Drosophila melanogaster: one gene and its partner. The protein of the gene in region 1 interacts with the protein of each later gene in a biochemical or structural test. Each region holds a gene or a part of one and is shown on either strand. Other genes may lie near its edges.

The links.
Region 2: the proteins of Pvr (region 1) and Pvf1 form a complex in vitro, tested with the Drosophila melanogaster proteins (one study listed by BioGRID).

The regions. Positions count from the first base shown.
Region 1 is NT_033779.5:8,233,254-8,244,226, reverse strand, and holds the start of Pvr (PDGF- and VEGF-receptor related), read left to right. Parts: upstream 1-4,348; 5' UTR 4,349-4,535; exon of another isoform or gene 4,536-5,308; intron 5,309-10,973. Other genes in the region: CG43057 (uncharacterized protein), read left to right, coding at 239-308, 359-468, 523-714; CG14277 (uncharacterized protein), read right to left, coding at 935-979, 1,043-1,444, 1,498-1,560; Spn28F (serpin 28F), read left to right, coding at 2,461-2,473, 2,534-3,372, 3,432-3,570, 3,626-3,762.
Region 2 is NC_004354.4:18,826,973-18,838,112, forward strand, and holds the start of Pvf1 (PDGF- and VEGF-related factor 1), read left to right. Parts: upstream 1-5,709; 5' UTR 5,710-5,974; intron 5,975-11,020; 5' UTR 11,021-11,082; coding exon 11,083-11,140. Other genes in the region: CG7101 (uncharacterized protein), read left to right, coding at 3,691-4,171, 4,251-4,828.

The DNA of each region.
Region 1 (10,973 bases):
GTAAGCCGAAAGTGTTGTGGAATGTTACAATTGTATACACTGATATATAAAGAGATATTACTAATATATTTAGCCACGATGTTTTTTTCTTAGAGAGCTCAGCCTTCATTTGGTAATCCACACAAATATAGCATTTACTTTTATGGCAAATGGCAATTTTCATGCTTAATGCCGTGTTAAGTATTAATGCTTTGCCAGTTGGATGTCCACTTAGCCGCCAACCATCTGATGATCCGTCATGAAGCTACTGCTGTTGGCGGTGATTGTTGCCCTCGCTTGGCTTCTTATAGAGGCTGGCAAGACCAGGAGTAAGATTGAACTTAATACTCAACCATTCACTCAATTACCGATTTTCTAGCTAAGAACAGCTCCTGTCTGGTGAAAAACAAATATCCCCCCGAATCTTCTTGTAGATCATCGCATCGGGAATTCTTTGCCTTTCACCGAGTTCTATTCGACTGCATAAAGGTAGAAGCGAGAAACGATCACGAGCATATCCTTTAGGTCCTTTGATCATTTAAGGTGACCACAAATTGCCGCAAGATCTACAGGAGGAATGAGTTCCATAGTTTGCAATCGTGCAGAGATGCATGTCACTACCACATGGCTGAACCAAGTCCGCCACCACCCCAAAATGGTACGACTTCTGCACCTGGAGGTGCCTCCGGAGCGCCAGGAGACGCTCCAGCAGCTGAAACGCCAGCTGCAGCGTGATCTTCAGGATCGGACACAAAAAAGATCAATTTAATTAAATTCCCGCAGATATTTGAAATAACTTATAGAGAGCATTGTGATAATTTCAATTCGGTATTTTCTGTATATTTAATCACTGTGTGTGCACCGCATTACCAATTTTTTTTTGCCCTCGTATTTACAACTACATGATTTGCAAGACTCATAATACAAACATAAGACCAACGATCGGATTCCGTCACTAGTTCTTGGTGATCTCGATTTCGGCATGAATGCAGGACTTGCCCTGGAGGAAAATACAACAAGGTGTCATCGAAATATCTATCATATATATTGGAAATAAACTCACCGTGTCATGCTTGACCTCAGAATCGATGATGAGGTGACCACGAGCCATGCCCAACATGGCCTTGTACTTGCTCAGATCCACGGAGTGATCGTTGGCGCACACCTTCTCCTCGCCCACCGGACAGGAGGAAGGTGCTCCGAAAAGCTTTAGCATGTCCTTACCTTCGGAGGAGGCCTGATCAATGGCGGCGCATAGATCGATCTTGCCCTCCTTCATTACGATGCCATCCTTCTGGACCTTGAACTTAGCCACCGCGGTACTGAACGGCTTGTTCATGATGCAGCCCGAGGGTACCAGTTCACACTTCTTGTTTAGCTTCAGGCTGAAGTCACTGCCCACCGTCATAATGGCATCCTCGCCGGCACAGTTCTCCAACTTGACCAGCTTGGCTTTGTAGCCATTCTGGGCAAAAGATAGCTTATAGATCTGGTCCACGGAGCTCCTGCCATACTTACGCAAGCCAAGGCTGCCTGGAAGCCAACGCAGCTGAGCAGGAACACGCAAATCAGACGCAACATTATGTTCACTCCGCGTTTTGGATGAATTTGTAAACTCCTGGACGGCTCAACCCCTATTTATACGGAACTTTCGCTGGCCTCGTTTCCCCCGAAATCCACAATTATTTGCGCATTAAGCGGTATTTGGCTGCAGCGATCAGTGATCGTTCGGCTCAATTGATTGCTCAAACTCCACTGGCCAGACGGTCATCCATTAGACCGCTCTAAATGTCGGAAATATTATGGAACTTTGTGGTCATCCAATTTTAATTACACCCACGACATGTTATTGTTTGTGTTCCTAGCGTGTCGCTGGAGTTTGATCTCTTGATCTCCCGTAATGTGAATGTGTTTGCATTCGAAACCATATGAATGTGGCTAAAATCGGACTCATCAGGAGTCCGTTAAAATCTGTTTTCTGTAATTGATAAGTGGCCATCACTCTTGTTACTTGTATGCCATGTCACTGCTTTGTTAGCCGCAGATATGATTGAATGCGAAGTTGGGGCTTTAAATGGCATGCAATTGATTAAAATGTTGCGACACGGATGTTTGACAAATAATCATACCATTTTTGTAGCAAAAGTTGGTCTGTTTTTTAAAACAACCTGATTTATTTATTGAGTATTTAAAACTATTAGAAAATTAGTTCATTATTACTGATCTTTAAAACGAAGTAGACTATTTATACTTGGTTTACTAATCAAATTAGATTCGACAAATTACATATGTTGTTATGGAATTTATACATTTAAGTTTAATTGTGTAATGCCATTCATTTATATTCTTTAAGAATGGCTTAATGAAATCCAACCGAAGCGCATAAATTTTATATCGCGCTGGCGAGTCTAATTTGATTATAATGCAGACTATATATAATCCGTAATTTCTAATTTGTTCTTAATCTCGATCGACGTTAAAATGAAGCATTTGTGTAAGTAAACTAATAAAATACAAGTTAATCAAAGAGGAATAGGTAATAATTGCAACGCAGGTCTGCTTCTTTTGGCCACGTCGGTATCTTGTCGCTTTGCCGACGATTTCTACCAACTTTTGGCCAAGGAAAATGCGGCCAATAATCTCATTTCCTCTCCCCTTTCCGTGGAAATCGCACTGAGCATGGCCTACATGGGAGCCAGGGCAAAGACAGCCCAAGAAATGAGGAATGTTTTGAAACTGCCCGATGACAAAAAGGAAGTGGCAGCCAAATACAAGGACCTTCTGAGTAAACTCGAAGGACGCGAGAAGGTAGCCACTCTCAGTTTGGCTAATCGCATATACGTGAACAAAAAGTTCCAGCTAGTACCGAGTTACAATCAGATGGTCAAGGATTCATTTATGGCTGAAGCGGAGGCAATCGACATTGTCGATCCCAATAAGGCTTCTTCAATTGTCAATAATTGGGTAGATAATCAGACGCGTGGTAAAATCAAAGACTTAGTTTCATCCAATGACATGTCGAAAATGGAATTGATCGTCTTAAATGCCATATACTTTAAAGGCCAGTGGGAGTACAAATTTAATCCCAAGTTAACGAAGAAGAGGAATTTCCGTGTTTCGGATCAAAAGAGTGTTCCTGTCGAGATGATGTCACTATTTCAATCATTTAGGGCCGCACATGATAGTGAACTGGGTGCCAAAATTATCGAGCTGCCCTACAGAAATTCAAGCCTGTCCATGCTAATTTTTCTACCGGACCAGGTCGATGGACTATCAGAGCTGGAGAAAAAGATTGTAGGATTCAAACCGAAACTTTCCAAAATGGATGTAACTTTAAGGCTTCCCAAGTTTAAAATCGAATTCTTCGCTCAACTAAACAAAGTTCTTGTGGCGGTGAGTATTCACAGATTATTCTTGATACACCCTTACAATTTATAGATATTCATCTATAGATGGGCATACAAGATGCGTTCGAAAAATCTGCTGACTTCAAAGATCTGGTCGAAAACAGTAACGTTCATGTGAAAAAAGTCATTCATAAGGCGTTCATCGAGGTTAATGAAGAAGGAGCTGAGGCAGCGGCTGCAACAGGTATGATATAATTTTATTATATATATATTTGTATAATATGTTTTATTTTTGCCAGCTTTACTTTTCGTGCGCTATAGTATGCCTATGCCGTCATCTCAAATGGTTTTTAATGCCGATCATCCTTTTGCCTATGTCATTCGCGATAGGGAAACCATTTATTTCCAGGGCCACTTTGTGAAACCGAATGAATAAAATGTACTATTTCTTATCAATAATAAATGGAAATTGTATTATACTTTATTGTAGAATAAAAGGATTTACCAGTTTCCTGAAAATATTTAATAGGTGGAAAGTAGTGAAAATGCTATAGTCGAGACCCTTATAAATCACAATCCCCTTACTCAGCTGACAAATCGTTAGAAATGCTTAAATGATACTAAATATTATTTAATAAAAGAAAACTTTATTTTAAGCACTTCGATCTAAAACTAAAACCGTTAGGAAATTTAGTACGCATGGCATCACTGGCCGCCACTGGCCAACTGGAACTGTTTTCAAGCGGTCTGGCATCGCCGCGAATAGCGTGATTGCGTTCAATTTTTAGCTCGTTATTTAGTACACTTCACCTTTCAAAATAATAATGAAATAATAATAAAAGGAAACTAAACGAGAGATAAACTCCCTAACGAAACAAGAAAATTCAAATGATGTTGACTAAAGATATAACAAAAATATTATTCTATCCGTTCTATTCTACATGCTGTAGATAACGCTCATCGATAGCAAAAAATAACAATCGAATCGGATACCTCGATAGTACCGTCGATAGTGCCCCAGCTCTAGTTAACGTTAACTTTTCGAGCTGTTCGGACGTCAAAGCGGAAGGAAATTTCGCGGGCTTTTGACTTGTGTTCGGTGCAAACTGTTCAAACTTTGCCGACGACGCAGTATTTATTGTCTTTCAAGAGCAACCGATACTGCTGAAGTGCCCCACGCAGAAAGTGTTAAGCACAGAAAACCACAACGTAAGCGTTAATTTTTGAAAGGCTCGAAGATACGTCCGATAATATAGATATAGAATCGTGTGGAAACGAAACCAAATCGTGTCGTATATAAGTATAAGTGAAGCATCAAAGGTGCTAAGCAAATGAATCCGCACTCAAAAGTTTAGATATCGATGTGAGCGAACCCCCACACCTTCGCAAAAGTAAAAAACAAACACAGATACGAATCGGAATTCGAATACAAGTGCAAACTCAGCCACAGGTGGTTGACAAGAGTTCTAAGTGATTGTCAATCGTAAGCTCGAAAATCGAAATCGAATTCGGCGCTCGTGATGTTGCTCAATTCGATGCAATTATACAAAAAAAAAACACCCAAAATAGTCATGGTCACTATGCTCCTATAGATGGTGTACATAATGAACTATTATCAGTGACCTTTTTCTAAGTGCGTGTGTGTGTGTGTGTGCTATTATCACTGCCTGGTATTATTCATTGATAAGTGCATATAAGTGTTGGGTCTACGAAAAGTGTGCGTGTGTCTATGGTGAATACGTCAGCGGCATTCCAAGTAATCAAGACTGCAAACATCCACCGGTGCCAGGTATTCAAATCGTGATTCATCGCCGATCGTGACTGTTGTACGTTCAAAAGTTGTTGTTGTATCTTCAATAGTTGTTGTTGTTGCCAAGCTGCTGCGATCAAACGGTAGACTGCGTAAGACTATGAAAATATGAATAACACTACGATGGATTTCGAATTTACTCATACTGCTTTTCCAGAAACACCCAAATAAAGTTGGTATATATACATATATATGTACATATATATATAGAAGAAAGGGTTCACCTTTCTTTTGTTTGCCTGGTCAACTGAATGTGTCTATAGCGACTTTCTTAAACCGGTTCCACGCCATCCGTTTCTTGACCAAACGAACTGTTGATACATTTTCCCCCAATACGTGACTCAGGATCGAGAAGTTCTGATCAAATCAGATGCCCATAATTCATTGCCTCCAATTGCACACTGTGCCCAATTTGTTTATTGAATACAGACCTCCTTCAGTTTGCCGACTGCTCCATTTATCTCTGGCCACTTCAAAAGGCTGCCCAGCCCAGGCTGTTGTTAATTGCCATCGTTCTCAATGTCCGGAAAATGTGGTACAAAACTGCTACGAATCGTCAAAGTTTGGAGTCATAAAAATGTCCGCGAATGGTGTTGATGAAATATTTATTGTAATTCCCCTGGCCAAATTCGCAATTCACCTGGCATCAAGCGTTGAACAACTGTTGTGATAAGCCAGAATAATCAATGGATACTAGTGGTTCTTGGAAAATGTGCACCCATCACATTGCTACTGGCCACTTGCACCTCTTTTTCACACCTACCCATTATGCACATGGCACATTAATCAGGTGGGGCTTATGGCCAAGTATCCACCAGATACGCACACCTGCCCCGCCCCCCGCAGTGGGTGTCAAATTAGAGATACTTTACTGTAGTTGATTGTGCTGAAGTAGAGAGCTCCATTACGAATAAATTACTTTGTATGCACTGGAAAAAATGAACAAAGTAGTTCTTTCGCATTAATAGAAACTAATTATAAATACACACAAAATATTTAAGCAGAACTCGCCGAAAATAGACTTCAAAATAATCAAAGAATGTGTGTGACAACGAATTTGTGTGCATTTCAAGCGATTGTAATATCTCTAGAGATATTTAGAATGCTGATATGTATTATTGCACAAGAGATCTTTTTAATCTCAAGAGGATTGCTTATGCACAGAAGATTGACTTCCTGTTGTAGATAAAAACACTAGAATTGAGTTTAGGTACATTTTGTACATCTGTAGAGAGAAAAATCATTTTGCGTTTCTCTAAGGCAGTTCGGATAAGCTGAAACATTTTTGAGAAACCCCTTAACTCTTTGGGCGAATTGGCTCATAAATTTCCATTTAAGATAATATCTGTTTAATTGAATTTGCCGGTTACCAATAAGCCATAAATAAAACCGATTCGTTGGACAATCTCGGCCAGCATTGAACACGTTTTCACACCACTTTGTTGGTTGGCTGGCTGGTTGGTTGGTTGGTTTGGCATTCTATGAATGGACACCTTCGCCTCTTTACATCCGCCGTGGTCTGAGTCAGAACGTAAATAATAAATAACAAATAATAAATTGACAGCGGACAACAAATGTTTTGGCCAGGCCATTGTAACTGTCTGCATGGAGAGGTGGAAATAACTTGGCCATAAATCTGCAAAAAAAAAGGCTAAGCAGGCAATTGGCTTTCACCTGAGCCCTAGACTAAAGCCCATTCATAAGCGCTGGAAACTTTAGACTAAAGCCCATTCGTTGGGAAAATTTTATCTGCCCCATAAACTGCACGTAATCAAGTGCACTTCGGAGAATCAGGGAAATAAGAAAATATATGTATATATATATATAAAAGCAATCTTATTTCCGTCGGGAATAAAATGGCAGAAGGCAGCCAGCCAGTCAAAACAAAAAATGCATTGAGTAAACAAATCGCATAAAATTGAGCCATGTTTTGAGGTCACGGCGAGGCACTAAATGGGCTATATACATTGGCCATATTTATTTATTAATCGGGCGAAACCCAAAACAAACAAATTAAACACTTGTCGGCTATTAAGTGAACGCATATAACATTTCTATTTATTCGCCAGCAGCTGGCCAACCAACCAACTTGTTGTCGCCACGCGTTGTAGTTGTATAATATGTGGGCAGAATGCCAACGATTCAATTTCACCGGCAATGGTCTTTCTATTATTTTTATTAAGTTCCCAGTTTATGGAAAAGAAAAGAAACAACTTTTCCAAATCTCTCGAGTGACAACTGAAGAGTTATACAACCGAAAAATAAAGTTTCCCAAATGACTCAACTGAAAGATACATTACTCCGGTAATTTCACTTTTATGCCATTTGACTTTCTTTGCGCATTATGCAAAGGTTGCCAAAAAAAAAAGACATTAAATTATTTTCGCCGCTTCTGCTAGGCAATTACTTAACATAATCAAGCCCCGTATCTCTTTCCTGACCTTATCGCAGCCAAATGGTTGAAAAGATAGGCCGTTGCGAAATGGTGTTAAGAACTCGCTATTTGCCAGATAGTTTATCTTGCAGTGCGCCCGCAGTTTAGCTAGAAGTTTCCCTTAATCTTGCAGCTTCTCGGGGATCTGAGGCTGCGACTGATTTCTGTAACCCATTATTCTTCGCTTCCAGTTGCCAATCCATCAAGGCGTCACTTTTGCTTTTTGCTCACAGCTCGTGTTGTTTGGGCATTTGTCTTGCAGCTATCGCTTCAAAATGCATTAGATCTGCGCACAGAAGCCCGTATTTCTATTCTCAGCTGGGAATTTGGTATGTGGAATGCCAAATGGGCGGGGATATAGTCGTGGGCGTTGGCGTAGTTGGTGGGGGGGCGTGGCCAACAACCAGTGGAGCCAACGCAAAAACTGCAAAACTAGCTCTTGTTTGTGGGCGGAATTTACAGCGGGCGCTGTGCACTTGCCCAAAAAAAAAAAGGAACAAAAATGTCAATTGAAACGGAACCATATATCAATTAATTAGAGTCGGACAATAGACATTAAACCAGATGTTCCCGCTGATAGCAGATTACCCACAAGTCAAGTGACCTCAATCGAAGGGTGCTAAAATGTCTGCTCAATTAATCAAGTATCAAGATCTATTAATTCTGCAGACGCATTACCTTGGAATTGTCATTAGCTTTCTAGCTCGCCAAAAATTAATTAGTCAGCTTTTATTAAAGCGAAAAATATTTTATATAGCACACTTGGCTTTAAATGGATTCATATATTGCCAGTTTAAAGATTCTGTTTTTGTTGACAATTTAAATCAATAATTTGCTGCTACGAGTCGCAAACAATTCAATTTTTTTTAATTAGGCGATAATAAATTTTGTGTGACACCAAAAACTTTATTTGAAACTTTGCTGGCTTTCTTTGCGAAATAAGTTGGATGGCAAAAGCAATTCCATTATCTTTTTGGCATTTGAAGCTAACTAAATGCTTATCCCTATGACATCCTTGCGTTCATTAGCGTTTTTGGTTAGCTAACGCCCACTTGCGAACATTTGTTGTCCTGACGAAAGCCTATTGGTTAATGGAATTAGCTGGCATTCCGCGTAAGGAACCATTACCATGTCACCATCCACATACCCGCCATCATTAAGAGGCACGCAAACTGGGACAAAAGTAGCGTCATTATGCAGAACGTTGGTTGAACGGTGTTTTGGGCCAACGAAACGAGAGTTGGCCAAAAGGCCCACACGCGGTTTTTTGGCCTGGGTGGGCAGATTGGCCCCAGATCTCTCGATACCGCTGTTAACCGATTGACAAATAGTTTGATTTACGAGCCAACAAATCTCAGCTTGGCCCAAATTGCAAATTTCAATTTGACTGCGTGGCGCTTTTCTGAATTTTTAATGAAGCAAATGAAAGGCCACACCCCTTTGTCCGCTTCCAGGCAATGCAGATGGATAAAAATATTTTCCGATACAAGTAGTTTCTTCGTATTTCTCCATGGCGACTGCTCATTATTTTGGCCAGAAGCCAGCGGCATGTTTGCAATTGCAATCACAGAATTCGTGAACGATTCAACTTTCCATTAAGATGTGGTGCGCGAAATTTCAATTGTAATGGAAAAAACAAAGGAAAACACTTGACTTGTGCACCAACACAGAAACACGCAACGCCAAAGGTCAGCGGGAAAATCAAATAAAAGCACGGAAAAACTCCGACGAAAGAGTCGTAAATTTTCGTTGGCCCAAACAAAAGGTAGTCGGAACAATGGAGACACACTTACTTTTCTCGAATCCGGGATAATTGCAAAAATAAACACATAGCTTGTGGCCCATATAAATTCAATTTGTACAAGGGAGTTGCAAATTAAAATGGACAACGGTGGAAAGCAGCAGGAAAATTCGTCCGTGACGAGGGTCAGCCGTTGCACGTAGCACGTAGGCGGCTAAATTTTCAGAGTGAAATACATTTTTTTTTTCAGGAACACGTGAGGGAAAGCCACAAAAACCGCACTCAAGCCTCGAAATGAATCTGTTGCACATGCAGCGCGTGAAAAGCACGAGCTGTGCAAGTTTTCCGTTCATTGGCCATAAAGAATCAAATAACGTTGAAAGATTTTCCCGGCAAAGCGTTAAACTGTCAAAAGTTTCGGCGTAAAGAACAGTGGTGGAATGGAATGCTATTTCATTTCTCTTTTTTTTTGTTGGAAAAACATGGAACTAATAAGAATGTTGGCCGCTGATGTAGCCGAAACATGAAATGACCATCCGTTTTTTATGGCAAAAACTCATGAAAGAGTTCGCTTGTCTTCGCATAAATACACATTGTATCATTGCATAAATTTACTTCAAAAGTTTGCCTAAGTTTATTTCTTGCTTCCCCTGGTAAGCTTATTAGATAATCGCATAAAAAAGGCTTGGGAAATTCAAAAAAACTCAAGTGAATAATGCTGCAGTTTATCTACAATGTGGTTGTGTTTTATTTTTAAGCTCTTGTGATTGGTAGAACTAGTACAAATGGTCTGTTGTTACCTGATTTCTGATTATTATAGCCCTGTAAGTTCCTTAAACGATTTTCAATGACTGTTTATACATTATACATTCTGCTGGAAGATCACTCTTCGAAACAAAAGATTTTGCAATCAATGCGATGATAATGATGATGATGATGAATGCAAGGAGACACTTGCTCTCAAGGAAAGTTCTCCCCTTTTACAAATGCATTCGGTCAACCGGTTTGCGTGCTATACAGTTTTATTATAATATATACGTAAAAAGCATATTTGAACAATAAACAGATATAAATGTGAGCGTAAGGCAGTTTAATTAGTACGCAAATATCGTCACTTATATAAACAGATTTACATGAAACGCAAACGTGAATGCAAACGTCACACATGAATAAGCAAAAAGGTGGAAGGGGGGGGGGGGGGTCATTAAATGTGGGGGACATTGGTGAATGAATGAACGAATTAAGGCGGCGCCACTCGACCGTGGAATGACGTCATTCTTTATTATTTATACGACTCGATGGTGGTAAACAATTGTGTGTTAAACATATGTTGTATATCGATGTGAATTTTGATAGTCGCGAATTGATATGAAAGTTTCGGGCAGCTCTTGATTAATTACATATATCCATTTCGTATCGCATAAAAACACTCTAAACTTTTAGAAATCTAATAGATTACGCAGAAAAGAATGCAACAGCAAAAACCGAAGTAGAGTGACGACTTTGGGAAATTGTATTTTCTTAGCACAAAAACAAGACAGCTGAAAAATGCCGAGCAAATTATTCATCTGGCTGTGTTTTCCTTCATTCAACAAGATTCATTTTAGCATTCACAATTGAAAGTCATTATTCTCTTCGGATTAAAAAATGTTTTAAACAAAA
Region 2 (11,140 bases), on another chromosome or scaffold:
GACGACACACTTTAATGTATACAATGTATATGATCTTTCTGCGCATAAGAAACAATTTTCCATAGTTAAATCGAAGCTACACATACACATATATATATGTATATATGTATATATACACATATATATATATATATATATATATATATATATATATATATATATATATATACTCCCCCTCAAAGTCAAAAAGCAGTAATCAAGATCGAGATGAATATAGACCATAAATTGTATTATAAAGTTAGGCAGGCCAGCCAGTGGGCACACTTTTCACAATCCATTTGCGATCAACTATGTATTTTCCCCTGGAAAAGCTCTTGTGACCCCCAGCAAATTTGTGACCTCGAGAACCCAAGATGAGCTGACAATGGGCAAGCTGGTGCCTGGTACTTGGAATAAATAATATTCTTGGGTACTTGATCTGGAATCTGGACACTGGAACAATACTATCTGATGGTGATGGTAATCATGCTTGCCCCTTGCCAACTCAAGAGCCCAAGATTTATTCAGCTAGTAGTACAAAGTGTTGGGCCTATGTAACCATGGCTCCGATTTACCAACTAGAATAAAAGTCCCTCGGATAATTAAATGCACAAGTTGGCTGCGCAAGTAGTTGCCATTTGAAATCTCAGTTCAAAGTTAATTAGCCGTTTCATTTCACGCGTACATGCCAGAAACTCACGAGCCCCAAATTGATGTGCAGTGAAAATGAAACACAGTTGGAAATAACGCAAAATATTTAGAAGAAGAAGAAGTGATTATGTATGTAGATTATTAGAGAATCCATAGCCAACATTGCCAGATTATGTATTATGTATTTGACCATGCGAAACTGACTTGCGCGATCAACTTGTGCGTTTCAGATTATATACCCACGTGTCCTAGCAATGTCCTACCTAGTAATTTTCTCTATTCGACTAGAAATGTATTGAGCTGCCCGCCCAAACAATCGCAGTGGGGTTAGTTAGTATAACCACTAACCACTTCTTACTCGTAGATCCAACATCGATGGGAGTGAGGCGAGATGGGTCGCATCTCTAAGATCAAATTGCATTCGATCGATTCAAACTTAATCTAATGTGAATCTTACAAATAGAAGAGAAGAGACGAGTATATGAAACAGATAAACAAAGAAATTAGAGAATCAAATTAAGATGAAATCCTGGTTGTTCGCGACTAATACCTTTATATGAATCGAAAGATGATAACTTATCGAAGAACTATTACAATCTAAGTACATATATTTCTATTTTCATTGTGCATATGAATTAGCTACTTTACTGTCGAAAACCGTTTTGCTGGTAAACAATCTCTTTATATGGGATATCCGAATTTCGGAATATCCGAATATCGGAATATCCGAATATCCGATTATCTGAATATCTGAATTCTCTTTGTGCTTTCTATGCTAAACATACATTTTTGAACTACTTCAATTAACGAGACGAAAACCCAAACACTTAAATTCCGAGGATCCGTACATACATACATATGTAAGTCCCCAAAACGATATCCCCCCCAATGTAAAGAGCGTACCGAAAATCAAAGCCAGTGTTGCATAGATATTACGAAATATTACGATGGTATGGGTACGGGTACGGGTACGGGGAGTACATAACATACATCAGTATAGAGCATATTGAACTTATAGAGCATATAGAAAAATAGGAACGATGTGCCGATGTGTAGGGCGTGCGTACAAAATGTGTACATGAAACCACCGTTAACTTTGCTTCATGCGAGCCGAGCAATTAAAGAGTTAAAGAATAAAATATAAAATGAAAAATTCAAAAATACAGATACAAGTGAAAAATAAAAAAGGAAAAAAAAAAGAATACCTAATGCAAACCGAACAAATCAGCAGCAGCAGCAGCAGTTCCGAAATTGTTGTCGAAATATATAATAGCAGCTTTTAGAACAACACCAAGGAAGTTGTAGTAAATGCGGAGGAAAATTGTATTGTTGTTGTTTTTTATGTACATTTACTTTTTTGTATTACCGTTGTTGTAAGTCAAATATGCCAAAAATGAATAGTTTACTAAGAGTTTACAACAAAAGATTCAAATGCAGGCAAGATATGAATTACTTTAAACGCAAATCGCAAGAACAAGTTCCGAATGTTTTTAGTAGTCAATGGAGAATATCTTTTAATCGCTTACACTAAGTGTTCCCATGCATATTTATGGGTTCCTTGCCGAAACAGAAATCTTACATAAACACAAAAATATAACACAAGAGCGCGGCTGTCGACTTTACTCCACCCCGGTACTCAAAATGTTCGAATAAAAGTGTGAATAAGTTACTAAATCATTGCATGCAACAAAGAATAACTTTAGCTAATGGATAATCGTGTTATTAGATCGTATTCAATTGTTACCTGATTTGATCCCATTTCGCTTTTATTGAACGTTTGATGTGCATTTAAGTGATTACCCCCACCCATAGCATTCTGCAAAAATCGTCCCAGTTGATAGAAAATGCAAATACAAGATCATACGTTCTCGATTCAAGTGTTTAACTTTAAAGTGCATTTTTAATATGAAGAAGTTCTGTTACATTTTTGTGATGATCGAAAAAAGGTCTTTTTTAGAACTGGCTGCGATTTTTCGATTGTAGTGTTGGAATTTCGAAACCAAAAATGTTGCTTGTGTGTTTAAGTTGTACCATTGTGTTATTTGAACTTTTGAGTATCGGATGAGCATAGAACTAAGGAACCATTAGAGGTCCGATGGATTGATTGAGCCGCCACAGCGCCATTTTGATAATAAGAACAAAGAATTCGATAACTATGTATGTTTAATGGATTACATAAGTGTGTACTACTTCACGCGTCAGGTGGGTGGCATTGCCCTGCAAATATTTACTTTAATTTCTGGATAATTAGTGCTCACATCACTGATTAGAGGACAGGAATGCGCAAAACAATATGCTTAATACATAAGATTCCAGAGCTTTTAGTAACGCCATGTAAATTCTGGGTCATGAATACAGTTGTGAAGATTGAAGATTGTAACCGAGGCGTTTGTTATTATGTATTCAAGTCATTTATTATAAGTGTATACAGCTTATACTATTATAAAAGTGTTAAAAACATGAATTATTTTGAGAAAAAAAACCCAAAAAAGAATATACAACAAAATGTTAGTCGGTAAATGAAATCAAATGTAAAACAATTTAATGTAGACTGTACTAAAGAATTCAAGGAAATTTGAATATCAACACTCCATCACGCAAATAACTAAAAGGAAATTCGCTAATTGAATAGAAGTTGATGGGAAAATTATTTGCACAGTGCAGAAAAACGTGTTATAAAATTATTATACTATACAAAAACTATATATTATTGAATTATGCTGATGAAATTAAAAACCATAAAAGTATGTAAAAAAAATTCAAATACAAAATGATTTAAATGAAGTACAATAAATATTCAAGTGACGAAAATGTACGAGCGGGCTCTTTTCAATGGGAATATGAAGAATTTAATTTGAAAATGTTTGATTTTTGTTTTTGAACACTTCGGTAAGTAAATGTGACCGCTTATTGATATATTCTGTTCAGCTTTCGCGCTGCAGTCACACTTTTGGCTTCCCGGCACTTGCGGTCAATCGATAACAAATCGCGCCTTCCGATATCGATAGTCAGCGAGCAGTTTTGCTTGTAACAACAATTTTAATTGGACAAGCTAAAATTATGGAACCGGTGCCCATCCGGCCAAAAGCGCCGGGAGCGAGCAACCGCGGAGCCCTGCCGCTGGCGGCGAAGAAGCCGGCCAAGAAGCGTACGTACCACTGCGGCGTTTGTTTTGCGGAGTTCTCTCGTCATCTGGCCGCCAAGCGGCACGAGCAGCAGTGCTCCGTCAGGGTGAGGCGTCTTTTCGTCTGCCCCCACTGCCTGACGCTTTTCGGCGAGGAGGCCCGGCTGGAGCGGCATCGGGAGCGAAAGCACAACGATGGCCAGTTCCTGTGCCTGCAGTGCGGCAAGAAGTACGCGTCAGCCACGTTTCTTTACCGTCATGTTGCCAGTTGGCACGGCCAGCAGTCGCTGTTCTACTGCGACATGTGCACGGACAACTGCAACGACGTTAAGACCTTTAGCGGGATGCTGGAGCTGCAGGAGCACGCCGAGGAGGTGCATCGCCTGCGTACCCTGAAGTCCACGGCCAGTGATGCAGGTAGGTATTCTGCTTACGAGTAGTTGTGATGTTAATGGCATACCCTGCTTAATAATACTATTCAATCCGATCCCTGCAGACAGCCAGGTTGATGAAATGGAGGATCTTGAGATGCTAGAGGAGAACATTGAGAACATACTGCCCAGCATCGACTGGGACGACGATCTCACCTTTGGCTGGCCCACCGACCTGGACAAGGAGTCGTGCATTGTGAACGCTAAGCCGAGCGTTTTCGTGTGTCCCTTCTGCGCCAACGGATTCCCCGGCAGTCTGAGCCTGGTGCGGCACCTGGAGCAGGTTCACGAACGCAGTGCCCTGGACTGCTGCTACTGTGGCAAGAGCCATGGCAGCCGAGAAGCCCTGCGGTCCCATCTGCAACGTGTTCACATCCTCTTGCGCGGTCATGTGTGCGGTATTTGCCAGGCGGACTTCGCCACTGCTGATCACCTAAAGAAGCACGTTAACAGTCTGCACCTGGACCACCGACCGCATCTGTGTCCCACGTGCGGAAAGAGATTCACCCAGCGGTGCCACCTCACCGATCACATAAAGACGGATCGCGGCCATGGACACGGCACTTACACCTGTGAATTCTGCGTGCGGCCCTTCTTCCGGGCCATCGATCTCGAACGGCATGTGTGTGAGGAACATCCGTAGGGCAGTCAACCTAGCCGGAATCGTAGATACCTGAGCGACATCTCACGTCCAGAACTACGATTAATATATACTTAAGCAATGGATAAATGTAACGTTTTAATAGCGTTAATATTTTGAATTTATATCCTAGTCATCGGAAATGTTTTTCCAAACGAACTTGAATTTAAAATCGTATTTTATTTTTTGCTGTAAAATTAATGCTTATGAGACGATTTACATTTACATCTTAGGAACTATAGACATAAGCGAATAGTTACTTTAATATAGCAAGCAGATGGCTGAAAGACAATGTACTTATATGAATAAAAAAATATCAATACATGAAGTCAGGTTAATAGAAACGGGCACAATTGAAATATTTTCTAAGGAAAGTTTGAAAGAATGAAAGATTGCCTAAAGAAAGTTTACAGATTATTGCTGCGTAGTGTTAACATAATGTAAAATGTCACACTAAAATGAATACTTTGAAAATAACGATGAAATAGTGCAGCTTTATGAGTAATATTTATCATCACCACAACACTGATTAATCAGATAATATACTCCATTTCCACCAATAGACAGATAATAGAATGTAACATATGTATTGTTCATGTTGCTCTATATATATTTAAATTTAAAATCTCAGCGAGCCTCCTGAGCGAGGGTGTGCGTAAGTCGAGATCGCGCTCTCCCAGCGTTAACTGTTAACAGTGAAACCCATCCGCTCCGCTCCAGGCCCCAAGATCGGGAGAGTAATGAGCGGAGCGGTTCGGTTCGGATTGGATGTGAGTGTTGCGGTACAGAGCGGAGAGCGCAATGCTGCGACAGCTGGGTACTGTTACTGTTACTGCAACAGTTACTGCTACTGCTATTGTTATTGGCGACTGTGGTGATAGGGGCGCAGTAACTTGGCCCACACCGACGAGTCGACAGTTTTGAACGGAACTTGCTGGTGCTTGGATCGCAGCTCCGCCGATCTCCGCGAGGCTAACACCACAAACTTAAACGCGCTCAAATATATATCACAAATTATTAAATACAAAACCCCCCATTTGTGCACACATATTTTTTGTTGTTTGTTTTTCGTTTCGTGCTAACCGATTTGTGCCATTGAACTTCGTGTAAAACATAATATTTAGAATTTTCAAGCCGTGTTTCCATAAAGTAAGTGGTGCTTCTCAAAATTTCAACATTTCAACACAAATCAGCAGCGTAAACAAACAAGCCAGCGACCCTCGACTACATCTAACATTTAAACTGAAACTGCTTTTTGTTATTGTTTATATGGTTTTCCACTTCTGCCCCACTAAAGCCGGGCCTTTTAAAAAGCTCTCCACAGCGCACAGCCTTTTGTTATATATATGTTTTTTTTCCCCAATAGCTTTCGAGCAAAACCAGAACACCATTTTATCATTAACAAATGCAAAAAAAAAAAAAACCAAACAAAACAAAAAAGTACAATTGCAATTAACGTTTTTTGATCTGGCTGTTGAGTTATTCCAGTGGCTGTGTGGAAAACCCAGTGAAAATGTTGCGCTTGAATTCCTAAAAACAAAGTCTAAGCCGGGCTTAATCGTTATTCAAATCAAACTACGTCAAATCGCGTGCGAATATAAGATTTGTGAATCACAAATGAAAGTGAACTTGGCTTAAATGTAGTCGCTGCCTTAAACTGCAATATATCAAGTTGTTTATGATCGAGTTATTGCGGATAAATCGTCAATAAAGTTCAATAAACTAATGCTGGCAATGTGTTCAAAGTTCCTGTTTTTTTTTTTTTTTTTTTAATTTATAACATTTTAGAACAAAAATGCCATTTTTAAGAAATAATTTATTTTGAAATGCACATTTGCGGGTTTTCATTAAAAGAAAACACGTTTAATGATAATGTTTGCTCACAAAAGTCACACATTATATATTATGTGATGAATATTAAAATATTATAGTAAACGTTTCTAATTATAACGTATATTGTATGAAACAACTGGAGAACTTTGATATCCTAGAAAGGAAACTATACCTTGAGCAAGTGACACCTTCACTAAACTTAAAAAAGAAAACAATTATTTTAGATATGCCCTAGTTTTTTAAAAACTTGTTCATATTTCCGCCTTCCAAAAGTTGAAATCGGTTAATCTTAGACTCGCATTCCAGACGTCGCCGTTGACCCGATCCCTTTGGGAGCCCTTTGGGAGCAAATCCATAATTTATCTTGTAGAGCTTGTAGAACCCACTGCCCATTGTCCATTGCCCATTGCCCTCCTGTTGGTCCAAGTTTTGTGTTTTCTTGTTTGTTGTTTGCTCTACTGCTCCCCCGTCTACATGGGCCCATGGATGCAGTGGAGTTATTATCATGTCTATATTGTAATTGATTTGCCTGAGCGAATGACCAGACGGGAAGACAAGCTATGGGCCTGTTCCCTGATCTGCCACGCCTCCGCCCGCGCCGCGCCCGCGGTCTTATCATTAACGCTTGAGTCTTCCTTTTGTATTGGAATTCTTGTGCGGGGAGCAATTGCCTGGCGGGAGGCACTCCCTTCGCGTAATTAAGGACCGCCCAAGTGGGGATCGCGATTCCGAGATGATTCCTTTTGGTTCCTCGCCTTCTCCTCCTTGAGATTACTTGATATGATTTGATATCTTCGGGTGACGCACCGGGAAGGAATGCCTCGAAAGTGTGAGAATAAATACAGCTGACACCTGCGCAAACTAAATACAGATCATATGGGTATCGTCTATCGACTATATGATACCTGAGGCATGGATATATGCATATGATAGCCTTATAAGTTTAATATTCCTAAAGAAAGCTTGTAAACAGTGGCTTGATTGCGTTTTTTGAAACTAAATGCTGATCAGATTTCGCCAAAGTTAGCATACCTTTTTTTAGTACAGGGTACTAAAAGCAATCAGTATGAGGAGTAACAAAAGCCTGTCGCTTTCGCAATAAGTACATATTCGCATTCATATATATAATTTAAAAACGTGCTTAATTTTGTAATCTGCCTTTCCCCCTTACCACTACTCCCATCTATCCGTCTCCCTGTGGTCGATCTGTAATATCTGCGCTGACGAAATGCCTCAGTAGCAACAACAACAAAAACAACAACAACTGATAACTGATAACTGACTAGACGCACAAGTTAACCGTTGAATCGGGTTAAAGAGACCTTCGATGTGACAGGTTGTGCAATCACCAGCGGCCCACCCGTCGAACGAACATCCTATAGAGGTTTTAAGAATCTGCATTATATTTTGAATCTTGTTTTCAGTTTGTAAGATCTATTGAAATTCTTTGCAGATAGATTAGTAAATTACTTGATATCTTTTTAATTCCAATTGAAAATTATTCCGAAACTGTTAAGCTAACAGCTGTTACTCCACACAAAGCTTGTGCAGCAGCCGCCAAAAAAAAAAATAAAAACAGAGCAACAACAACAAGACGGCACAGAGGAATGTCAAGATGAATCACACAGGTGTGCGTGACACCTGGCAACAGAGAAAGAGAGAGGGAGGGAGAGCGATGAAAAGAATAACAACGTTTGGTCTGTCATATCAATCGGTATTTGCTTAACTGTTAAAAAGAGCCAAGAAATGTAAGGAAAACAGAAAGGAAAACAATGATAGCTGAATTCCGTGTGCGTGTGTGTGTGTTGATTGCAGCCCACAAATAAACACTTGTGCACCCATTGCACCTAAAACGCAAGTGCAGAAACATACACACAAATTGAAACTCCCGAGGAGTACCGTTACAAGGCGAGCTTAAAGCTATTTTTAACACCATCCGATCTTGCTCTCCTTCCCCACCCCTTTCCACACCCCTCTTACCCATTCTGCTATCTCCTTTCCTGTGTTGTTTTTTGCACCACTTCTCACTTTGCTTTTCTTCGTCTTGCCCTCATACACTGCACGAAACCAGGATCACTTTAAAACGCTTTGTCCGCATATTCCACAGCTTTGTATTAGAGAAATATAATCAATTATGTATATACATATAATGGGCATTAACCCATTAGTCGGCATCTTCAAAAACTTTCCACACTTTGTTATGTGTACAAAAAAGTTCATACAAGTATTTCCAAAAAACTTTGTACGTTTTAATAAAGATCATTCCAATTTGCCAGTTGCATTATAAAAGTTATTTGTATAGTAAAATAGGCTCATAAAGCCTCCTTAAAAACTTGCATCCAACTATTTTTCTATCATGGTATCATGTTCAGCAAAATTTCATTCGCCGTACATCCAAAATTCGATTAAACTGAATTTAAAATGAAGTTGGTTACCCAAACCACTATTTGTTTATATCTATACTAAATTAGCGAAGCAAGCTCTTGGAATCTAGCAGTCCATTTTTTTTCCAGACCCAATATACATGTATGTATGTACATTACATATGTATATATTTTCCGATCCATGGGGGAGCATATGGCTATGTTTACATCTTTCTCACTTCTTCGTCTTCTATTTTTTGTTTTGCATTTTAATGAATGAACGCCTTTTGCGATTTTACAATAGCCATTTATATTTTATTTGCTATTCACTAGGCTGATAAAGCGCCTTGACCAGCACGCTATATACAAATCTGTATATTTATGTATGTATGTATGCATGTGCATTTAGTATGTTTTACTGGGACTTATCACTATCACTAGGCGTGCGTTACGTTATCGACAGCCCACGAAGAAGAAGAAGAAGAAGAACAGACTGTGCAGCTGAAAGGGAAACGCGAACTGACCTATAATAAGAATTTTCATATTTAAGCAGTACGCAAGAATAAGTAAAAAAGAATAAGAACAAGGGAGCGACGAGAATAAAAACAAATAATAATGAAATGCATTAAATGCGAGAGCCACAGTGGAGCCGGCACTGGAAATAAAATCATTGGCTTAACAGCATAAGAAGAAGAATTCTTCTGTTCGAAAGCAGAACGCGAATTCTGCAGTTGATTAATTTTACCTATAATTTCATTTTCGACCAATTATTGCACTTTTCCTTCGAGTGCAACATAATCAGTAGCTGAGTCTTACTTTTCATATGCAGGAAATATTAAACTCCCTACGCACTTAGCATTCGAAATAGAGTTTGAAAGACAGGAAACGAACTGAAGAATTCCCGCTTGAGTCTTCTAGATTGCTGGCGATTACACAAGAATCCTGCCGCCTTTTGACTTGGCTTCGAGGGCTTTAATGGCCACAAGTGTAGCTGATTTATGAGTCAGGGCATGGCCATAATAAAAGAAACGGTCGAACAAACGCGGCTCATTCATAGCCAAAAGTGGTAGTGGTAGTGGCATTGCATTGCCTAGTACCATGTAAAGAGTGTGCGCCAGGGGCGTATGCGTGACTCAGTCGTTTAGTAACCATCTTGAACTAGCCACAATTGCTTGATTTACCCTATGCACCTAATACACCTAATTGTTCTTTGAATTGTTTACAATTGTTTACAATTGGCATTGTAAGATATTTGTCGCAAACTTTACGATTTCAATCGAGATTAAGGGGTGTTTATCGAGTGCCGCTGGTGACTAACACGCCCGGTGCTTCCTGTCCCCCGGCAGGTTGATTGTCTCATTGATATGCCTGACGCACGATACCCTCGTACCCTCGGAGTGATGATAAGACGTTTTGTATCAATGTCAAGTTGGCCGACGCAGGTTTTTTTTTTTTTTTTTGCTGCCTCCAACGTTGGCCAACATCGCGTTCATAACCGAACTGACCCCAATTCGAATGGGAAACGTGACCACCCGCCCGCCTGCCCACCTGTCACCCACACCTGAAGAGCACACCACCTGCTGCCCGAAGAATTGACATTGTGGGGAAAAAGTAAATTAACCCTAGGAAAACAATATGAATCTCTGACTCTGTCATCTTCCAACATACATACATATATCAAGTCGTAAATCAGTCAGAGGAAGTCTGGGAATAAAAGGCGACTTCACACTTCTACCGGCATAAAAAAAAAAATTTCAAAAAATATAACCATTTTCAAATGAAAAGAAATCTTTACCTTCTCGAATCTTCGCGGCTTTGAAGAATTTTCCAAACCAAATTAAGCTGAATTTGGAGTTTCCGAAAATATTTATGTACATATGTCTCAAACATGGCTCACCATTCGATTCGGAAGGTCACTTCCGCAAATTATAGTACATTAATAAATTATTAATAAAGTATGTTAATTGCATGGCAATGATGTTTCATCCCTTGATTTTAGATAATTGTAACGGATTCTGTGTCCTCTAACGCCATTGAAAACTGTTCTTCCATCGCATCCGCATGGCCATGTCCCGAATCCGAATTCTGAAGCCCATGCAGCATCCATTGCTCATCCTGC